Caenorhabditis elegans: one gene and its partner. The protein of the gene in region 1 interacts with the protein of each later gene in a pairwise test. Each region holds a gene or a part of one and is shown on either strand. Other genes may lie near its edges. The genes, in order: W03F9.2 and gla-3.

The links.
Region 2: the proteins of W03F9.2 (region 1) and gla-3 interact in a two-hybrid assay, tested with the Caenorhabditis elegans proteins (2 studies listed by BioGRID).

What each region holds. Positions count from the first base shown.
Region 1 is NC_003283.11:126,500-130,028, reverse strand, and holds W03F9.2 (C2H2-type domain-containing protein), read left to right. Parts: upstream 1-1,994; 5' UTR 1,995-2,077; coding exon 2,078-2,134; intron 2,135-2,176; exon of another isoform or gene 2,177-2,190; coding exon 2,191-2,248; intron 2,249-2,298; coding exon 2,299-2,561; intron 2,562-2,607; coding exon 2,608-2,940; 3' UTR 2,941-3,029; downstream 3,030-3,529. Other genes in the region: sftb-2 (PSP proline-rich domain-containing protein), read right to left, coding at 676-1,453, 1,502-1,792; W03F9.1 (Zinc finger protein ZPR1 homolog), read left to right, coding at 3,380-3,400, 3,451-3,529.
Region 2 is NC_003279.8:8,212,904-8,218,162, reverse strand, and holds gla-3 (C3H1-type domain-containing protein), read right to left. Parts: upstream 3,466-5,259; coding exon 3,415-3,465; intron 3,370-3,414; coding exon 3,208-3,369; intron 3,134-3,207; coding exon of another isoform or gene 3,128-3,133; coding exon 3,035-3,127; intron 2,989-3,034; coding exon 2,653-2,988; intron 2,596-2,652; coding exon 2,475-2,595; intron 2,129-2,474; coding exon 1,776-2,128; intron 1,701-1,775; coding exon 1,625-1,700; intron 1,565-1,624; coding exon 1,106-1,564; intron 1,034-1,105; coding exon 785-1,033; intron 730-784; coding exon 590-729; downstream 1-589. Other genes in the region: Protein dhs-3, read left to right, coding at 1-148, 3,980-4,097, 4,888-4,961, 5,007-5,102.

The DNA of each region.
Region 1 (3,529 bases):
CCGTTAAAATTGAAAATTTAACCAACTTTTCAATGTGGCATCTCCCAAAATTTACCAAAACTTGTTTTTTTTTTGAGTTTTTAATTGATAAATTTGGAAAAATTGATCAAAATATAGCACCTCGCATTAAACATTAATTTGTCGTGTCGAGACCCAGTATCGTATTTTTTGCTTGAAAATCGTGAAAGAAGTTATTTTTTATTTTTCTAAATTTGATTTCATAATTTTTTCAACCAAAACCAAATTTTTTCTGAATTTTCAGACATTTTTTTTTCGTAAAATGTATTTACTGAACATAAAATTGTCAAGTTTGTCTTAATTTCTTTCAGGATAACATGTTTTTGCGAAAAAAATATCTGAAAATTTCATAATAATTTTTTTTGGCAGAATTTATGAATATTTGTGTGTTAAATTATGCGAAGAAAATTTTTTATCAAAAGAAAATTATTTATCATTTTGCAAAAATTTGGCGCTTAAAGCGGGTCTCGCCACGATCTCAGTTCTTGTGGTCGGTACAGGTGCAAAAATTCACAGATTTGTTAATTTTACGTTGAAAATGAAATTTAGCAGGCAATTTTCTAGGTTTTTGGTAATTTTATGTTGAAATGTAAAATTTTTCATAATGTTTTTTAGATTTCTGCTCTAAAATAGTACATCCAGAACATTTTACCGTACCAGGAATCGGCGCATTCAATCCAGGAATCTTAATATGCGGAAAACTGGGCGGTGGTCCGTAACGTTGCATCGCAATCAACCATGGCGGTGGAAACTTGAACGCATTCGATCCGATGGGCATTCCCAGTGCAATTCTAAGCTCATCCGACATTTCACCCGGCTTCTTGTCTCTCATCATCGCCTCCATCTCTTTTCCTTCATAGTAGAGCTCGCCCATTTTTGTCATAGCCGGCTTGGTTTGCCATTTGAAGAACGCGTCGTGAAGTTTTTGATAATCAATATCGATTTTTCCAAGCTTCGGGCGGGCCCGCTCTCTCATTTTTGATTTAAGGCTCTGGCTTTCTTCTTTTTCCAGCAGCGCTTCTCTCATATCCTGAATTCCGGTTCTTTTAATAAAATCTGGCAACTCAAATGGTGGCCGTTCGAATCCTCGCTTTCCGGCGAGATATTTACGCTTTGCATTCCAATGGCGTGGAACTGGAACTGAATTTCTATAAGATTTCATTGCGACAAGGAGATACGGATCACGAGAAGTCACATCGGCCCATTCAACAACATCGGCTCGAAGTGTCGTCTCTTTAAGCTTTGCAATACTCGGTTGAAGAGAAATTCGGAGTTTTCTACGCGAAAGCTTCTCCTCTGTGTTTTCTTTGGCACGTTCTTCCATCTCCTCTTGAATAATTCGCTCGGCCTGACCGACTTTTCCCAAATCATCCTTTTTCTCGCCTTTGGAAACGTGATGGCCGTAGGAGAAGCCGTCTTCTGAGTCGGTGGAGATCTGGAAGCCGATATATTGGAAAAACATTAACAAATAGTGATATGTTACCTTAAAAGCATCAAAAATTGCGGAAAAGTATTGAGCGTGCGGGTTATCCGGCTCAATTTCAATTGTTTCACCGATATAATCGATTTCCACGTCAAGATCGTCACCATTTTCCTCCTCTTTTTTCGGCTCCTCTCGTGTTTCTATTTCAGCTTGCTTCGTGGCTTTTGCTCTCTTCTTCGATTCCTTCTTCTTTTTGCTTTTCTGCTGTTTTCTCTTCAACTCCTGAAGCTCCTTTTTAGATAGGTTCTTGTTAGCCTCATCGTCTGAATTGTAGTCATCCTCGCCTGACATCTGAAAAAGGAAAACATTTAGTTGAAAATTGAAAAGTTTTCAATGAGGAAAAGAGGTTTTTAACCGCAAAAACGTTGAAAAATCTAAAAATTCGCAAAAAAAATTTAATTCGAAGAGTACGCAATGGGTCGGTGTTTGCGTACCAAACACTGAAACCGACGCCAAATACTCTCCGTCTCTCATTTTTGCACACTGTTTTATCATTGAATTTTCTCTTTTTTTTTTAAATTTTTTTAAAGCTTTATAATGCTTTAAAAAGATTAAAAACAGAAAATTCAGGTTGAAATGACAGAGCCATCTACATCAGGAGCCCAAGACCATGACGATTATCTAGTCACTCTCGTGAGTTGCAAATAAGCTGAGAAATACTGCCATTTTTTATAGATTTCTTTTTTCAGAGCTCCCCTCAACGCCAGTGCACCATCCGAGTTGTTCAGCCAGCTTCTGCATTAAAACGTGATTATTTATAAATATTATTTGTGAAATTAATTTTTTTTAACCTTCAGGAAAACTCCCAACTTCATCAGTTCCCGAATTCAATCCAGACTCCTACGGGGAATCGATTCCCGAAAATGCTCCAAGGCCTGTCTGCGAAACCTGCTCCGTGGCCTGGTCAACATGGGCGGCATACGAGTTCCACATGCTCCAGACTCATATAATATACCGCCCGTTTCGATGCTCTGGATGCCGGAACTTGAATTTTCACACCGAAGATGAAGGAAAGCACCACCTGGAACATTTTCATGGTGGCAAACCTGGCAGTTTTCAGGTGAAATTTAGTATTGCGTTTTATATTTTATTTAATTAATTTTTAGCTCATCAAACAGACGGATTTTGCAAAGGAAAATCAGTTGATCGAATGTCTGGAAAATGCAAAAACCACCGAGCAACTCGGAATTTCGAAAGAACGACTTGAAAATGGGCTGAAAATGATTGAAAAACTTCAAAAAATCAAGTTTAAAGCTGTGAAAGTGCATCTTCCATGCTGTCTTCGCCATGAAATGATCTCAAAACACACAGAAACTGAAAAAGAAGCGCCGCCACAAGAAAAATCGGTTACAAATGCTCAAAAGCCCGGCAATCCAGCACTTCTGTCTCTGGAATCCCGAAACTACGACTACGAGCAACAAGATACTGTTGGAATTTGATAAAAATGAAATATTCATTCGATTTTCCGTCAATAAAACTTCATCACAAGATTTTTATTCGTTTTTTGAAATAAAAATAAAATACAGATTTTAGCGCAGACATTTAATGTTTTATTCATTTTTCTCAGTTTCTTCTGCTACTTTGGAAGCGCTTTTTTTGCGAAAAAGCTTCAGTGACACAAGATAGGAAGGCTTTACAAGAATGTGTACTGAATTCTAATTATTAAAAAATTTTATAATTAAAAACCGCGAGGCACAACGCGAAATGAAGAGGCGCAGGCGTTTGTCCGCAAACACCGTCACGCAACTTTGCAGACTTGAATTTTTTTTGTTTTTCTTTTCCAGATTTTTCCAGTTTTTTCCAGATTTCTCTCTAAAATTAATACTTTAAAGCAGATAATTTTCGATTTTAATCAACAAATTCATTTTTTAAAGTAAAATGGCTGCGGATTCTCAAGATGTAAGTGTTTTTGCTAGAATTTACGGCACAATTTCCTAAATATTTTTCAGATCTACAGAAACTTGTCAGCAGATGACTATGAGGCTGCTCCAATTGTTGTTGATAGTGTCTGCCCGGTGTGCGAAGAAG
Region 2 (5,259 bases), on another chromosome or scaffold:
AACTGTGCTGATCACTGGCTCCGGAAGTGGATTAGGCCGATTGATGGCCTTCGAGTTCGGAAAACTCGGTGCAAGATTAGTGTTATGGGATATAAACGAGCAAGGAAACAAAGAAACACTCAAAGAATTGGAAGCGATGGGAGTTGAGGTTTGGACTTGCAACATTTTTCACATTTATAGATTTATTAGATGAATGTTCGCTAAAACTTACTACAACTACAGCTAACTATTACTATTACAAAGCTAGTGTCAAGAGCGGCGCGGGCTCGTTAGAAATAATGAAAACAAGTGTAAATGGAACAAAAAGTGAAGAAAAATACAAAATTTAAATTATGAATATCGTACTTTTGTGGATGGTATCCGTATCACTTGAGGAAAACAAGATTATGTGGGTGGGAAAAAGCTGGAAGTATCCATATCCTCTACAAGAAACCCTAAATACATACAAAAAACTAAAGAAGAGCTGCGAGTAGAACAAAAATTACGATGAAAAAGGACAAAATGATAAAGTATAAAATTTAGAAACTGAATTGGGTGAGAAATGAGAAAATGATTACAATAATGGGCTTTAAAATCATCGCTGGTCCTCCTAAATCGAGTGACTCTGATGACAGGCGTCACCGAAGGGGCACGATCCGGTGGCTGCAAAAAAATCGCAAGGTTCCAGGAATGAAGGCGTCTGGCCGGCCGATGATGACGGAGTGAAAAGGCTTTTCGATCCTGAGCCGTCTAAAAAATAGCCGATATATTGGAGGTTCTACTCAAATACTAAAAAAAATTTTACCGTAGTTTGGTGTCTTTTCATCTACGAAAAAGAACATTGGAGAGCAGGTCATCTTGCTTGATGTTGTAGTTGAACATTCGGAAGATTGCAGTGGCTCCTTGAGAGTTTCGGCGATTTTTAGAGTATCAAAATCGAACATAGAACACTTTGGTTTTTCGGTTGCTACTTGATCGAGCAGATTCTCGTTGCTCAATAGTTCCATCAAAGACATCACGACAGGACTTGAGCTTTCGCTGGAGCTTAGTTTATCTGAAATTGATGGATATTCAGAACTATAAATTTTTATAGAAATTTTTCGAGTAAATTAACCAATAAACATACCATCTCGATCGCCTTGTCTCACAAAATCATTAGCCATCATCATTTCCTCGTCTGTAATTGGATACTTGTCTGATCGAAGAGCATCCATTTTTGTGAGCAGACTTGCCGCAGAACTCGATTCGTTGATCGTCGCAGCTCCGCGAGTTCGTGTCATGGCTCCGGACTGTTTTTTCGGCTTCGGCTCGAGCCAAATCGAAAACGAGTCATCAGGTGGGAGCAAGGACTCCGAGATCTCCGGTGGTGAGAGAAGAGCCGCAAACGGATGTTGAGGTCCCTGTTGATGCGAATAACGGTATTGCTGAGCAGCATGATGCAGATATTGCTGATGCTGGTGTAGCTGATGTTGTGACTGATGATGATGATGGATTGGATGTTGATGTGGGGGACGATGACGTCCTGGCATGAAATTTGATAAACGATTTCCAGTTCCATGGTAATGACAGTCCGAAGTATTTGGTTCTAAAATGTATGCAATAGTTCGATCAATTTTCCTATTTATTTGGTTGATTTCAATCTTACCGTTTCCTGCAAGTCGTGGATGGTATGGTGGGGTCATAGGAGCATTGAAGTGATGACCATTACTCATTTGATCACTCTGAACAAAAATTGTTTGAATTTTTTTAAATCTAAAAGAAATTGTGAAAAAAGAAAAACCTGAGACACCACTCACCGAAGTTTGCCTAGACACGTCACGCTCGTTGATATATCCTCGCTCTATCATAAAACGAAGGTAGTTCAAATCTTTCATTTTCAGTTTAGACAAAAGTCGATCCATTTCCGAATTTTTCTGTTGAGTCGGTTGACGATCATTGGGTCCAACTCTCTGTCCGCCTATCTCTATGTCCTTCTGACGTTGATAGATTTCACCAGCAACATTCCAAATCGCTTGTTGAAATTGCGGAGGGGGACCGCCGACCTCTCGTGAAGTACGAACATTGGATCTTGATCTTTGGTGCTGTGGTGGGATATGGTATGCTCCAGATCCCAAACGATTCGGATCTTGACCAGGGATGTTGACTGGCCCTGTAACAATGAATTTTGATTTAAAAAATCTCTGAAGAAAAACTTGTCGTAATTTCACTAGAATTTGACATGTTTTCTTGAAGGCGCACGGATTCATTCAGGGTCTCGACGTATAAAAAGTTTATGATAGTCTTTTTTAATTTATACTCCAAAAACTGATTTAAACTAATTTTAGCAAAAAAAATGAATAGAAAACGATAAAGATTGATAAAAACTAAGTCATTGTTTTGAAAAATTCAAGAAAACGAGAAATCAGCCGCAACAATTCAAAAAGACTACCATAAAAATTTCAGCGGGCTGAGACTCATTTCATTAAATTCGAGAAAACCTCGTGAAATCTCTATACCTCCAAATTGTTGAGAAGGAACCCCTTGCGTAGCACGATTCGAGGAACGTTGATGGTGTCCATGAGATGGAAATCCAGCTGAGAACATTGACTGTTGCGGGTATGGGAACGGATTCGGAGACTGAAAACAAGTTGTTCAGTTTCAACCGAAAGTTATTCTTGAAGTTACAAAACTAACCAAAAATCCGTAATCGTCAATATCATCGTCACGAGAACATATTTCATGCTTCTTTTCCTGTTCTTGCTCGACACCGTTTTTAGATAATGATGAAATCGCATCCTTCTCTGCAGCTGAGCTGGTTGGTGGTGGTACAGCTCCAATTGACATGGAAATCCATCTTTCCTGAGCTGGAGATAACGGCATCGAAGAGTTTTGTTCTTTGAAGGCAGTATTCGATGGAATATTCACTGTTAATCCTTTGACGTTGGTTGATGCACGCTTTGTCGGCGACTTTTGAATTTCAGCAGTAGCCGGTCGCTCATTCTCTTCTTCGTTCGAACGATCAATCCGGACCTGAAAAACCAGATTTCTTTGATGTTTCCTACGCTGCTTAACTGACCACTTTACGAAGATCGTCTTCACCGTGAGCATACCAGCACGCGTCGCCATACGAACAGCTGCCCGAGCGTCGCCAGTGATCGCAAATCTTTGTCTGAAACTACAAGGAATGAGTAGATCTTAATTAAAATATTGAAGTGTTAAGAAATTAAAACGTTTTTCCAAAAATAGAACCTTCCTTAATGCGGGGTTATGCTCTCGATTGGAGGTAAAATTTTGATGTTGCCAAAAACATTGAGAAGAATCTTGATACACCGTGTAGTTCCCTAGACTTTCTAAATTTCTGACTGGATCCATATCTGAGTTCAATAGAGGCTGAGGTTGAAAAGAAAACCCCTGAATTTTATTATAAACCAAAAATACACTTTTTCCGAAAATTACCGGCGGAGCAGGAGTAAGTCGACTTTTTAACAAAGATGGTTGATAAAGCATGGTTGGGTGAGTAGGATGGAGAAAATAAAATGTTTTATTAAACACTAATTTCTAGTTATTTTTTTAGCTTTAGTTTTTTCCTCTACCCCCTTCTGCTCTAGTTTCTCACGAACTACCGCTTTTCTGATCTTACTTTCGGTTTTGGGCCGTTTGGTTTATTGCCGTTGGTGCTGTTTGTAAGCGCATCACGGGGATCTATGACGACGCTGAAAATTTTGTTTTTAGCAATTAGTTATTCATACGAAGAATATACCTTATTTCCTGAGTTTTTGACGCAGAGCTACTCATCTATTTACAGAAAAATACGATTTAGAATCTGAAAATGGCTTTTTTAAAAATATTTTACTCAAAAATGGGAAACAAAGAGAAGTTGAATAAATTTAGGTAAGCAAATGAGAAAAAGTACAAATTCAAATGACACGCTAAACAACGCGCGATCGTCATTTCGGAGTGTCGTTGTGCGTTTCTCTGCGTCTCTGCGATTTGTATACTGTTTCATTTCTATATCTTTCAGGCTAAAGCATACACAGTGGACCTATCGGAATACAAAGAAATCAATAGAACCGCCGATTTGGTTAAAAGTGAAGTAGGGAAAGTAGATATTCTCGTGAACAACGCTGGAATTGTGACGGGTAAGTACAGTCGGCTGAAAACATCCAAACTTCTGAAAAATTCATGTACAATACAAAAACACAGTAAATAATAATTTTGTTCCTTATAGAGTTAATTTTTTCCTGTAGAAGACACGAGACCCGAAGAACTCGGGGGATGTCCAATTGGGGGGATTACCAACTCGGGGATTGGCCCCGCCCACAGAACCGTGGCTTGCAATACGCCCATTTCTGCAACTGCCGCACGGTTTTGAAACTGTATTTTTCTTGTTAAATCTCGCTCTATTGAGAAAAATACAGTTTCGAAACCGTGCGGCAGTTGCAGAAATGGGCGTATTGCAAGCCACGGTTCTGTGGGCGGGGCCAATCCCCGAGTTGGTAATCCCCCCAATTGGACATCCCCCGAGTTCTTCGGGTCTCGAAGACACAATGAAGAGTCGCAATACACATGGTATTAATTAAATGAATTTGAATGGCGCGGCGGGACCCACTGGCAAAAAAGCACATCCCTTGCTAATTGCATACTGTAGAGATTTAGAAACATACGAAGTTTAGCGTATTACATATTTTTCATTTTAAGCGAAATATGCCAGATAAAGAGAGAAAACAAAAATCAATAAAATAAATAAAATGATAAGACTTTCGAAAAGGTTCAGTGAACCCATTGTTACTTCACACAAAAATTACAGTAGTAATTTGAAGAATTACTGTAGTTTTCGCTACGAGATATTTTGCGCGTCTGATATGTTGCGCAATACGCATTCTCAGAAATTAGTATTCCCATAATATCTTTTCATAAAAACATTTCAAGGAAAAAAGTTGCTGCAATGTCCAGATGAGCTGATGGTCAAGACTGTTTCAGTTAACACAAATGCTTTGTTCTTTGTAAGATATGACTTTTGTTGAAAAGAGAATACCGAAATTTTCCAGACTACCAAAAATTTCCTTCCCGGCATGCTCGAGTCGAATAAAGGGCATATTGTAACAATTGCTTCAATGGCTGGAAAGTGTGGTGTTGCTGGATTGGTAAGTGATTTAAAACAAAATGTTGACCGCGCCACGAAAAGTTAAAGGGTTTAAGTTAGTCTACACAAAAGGTCGAAAAAAACTTGTGTGTAGATAGGTACGTAGGCATCCCTGTGCCTACATTGTTTTTTTAGATTACATGGTGTTTCATACGTTT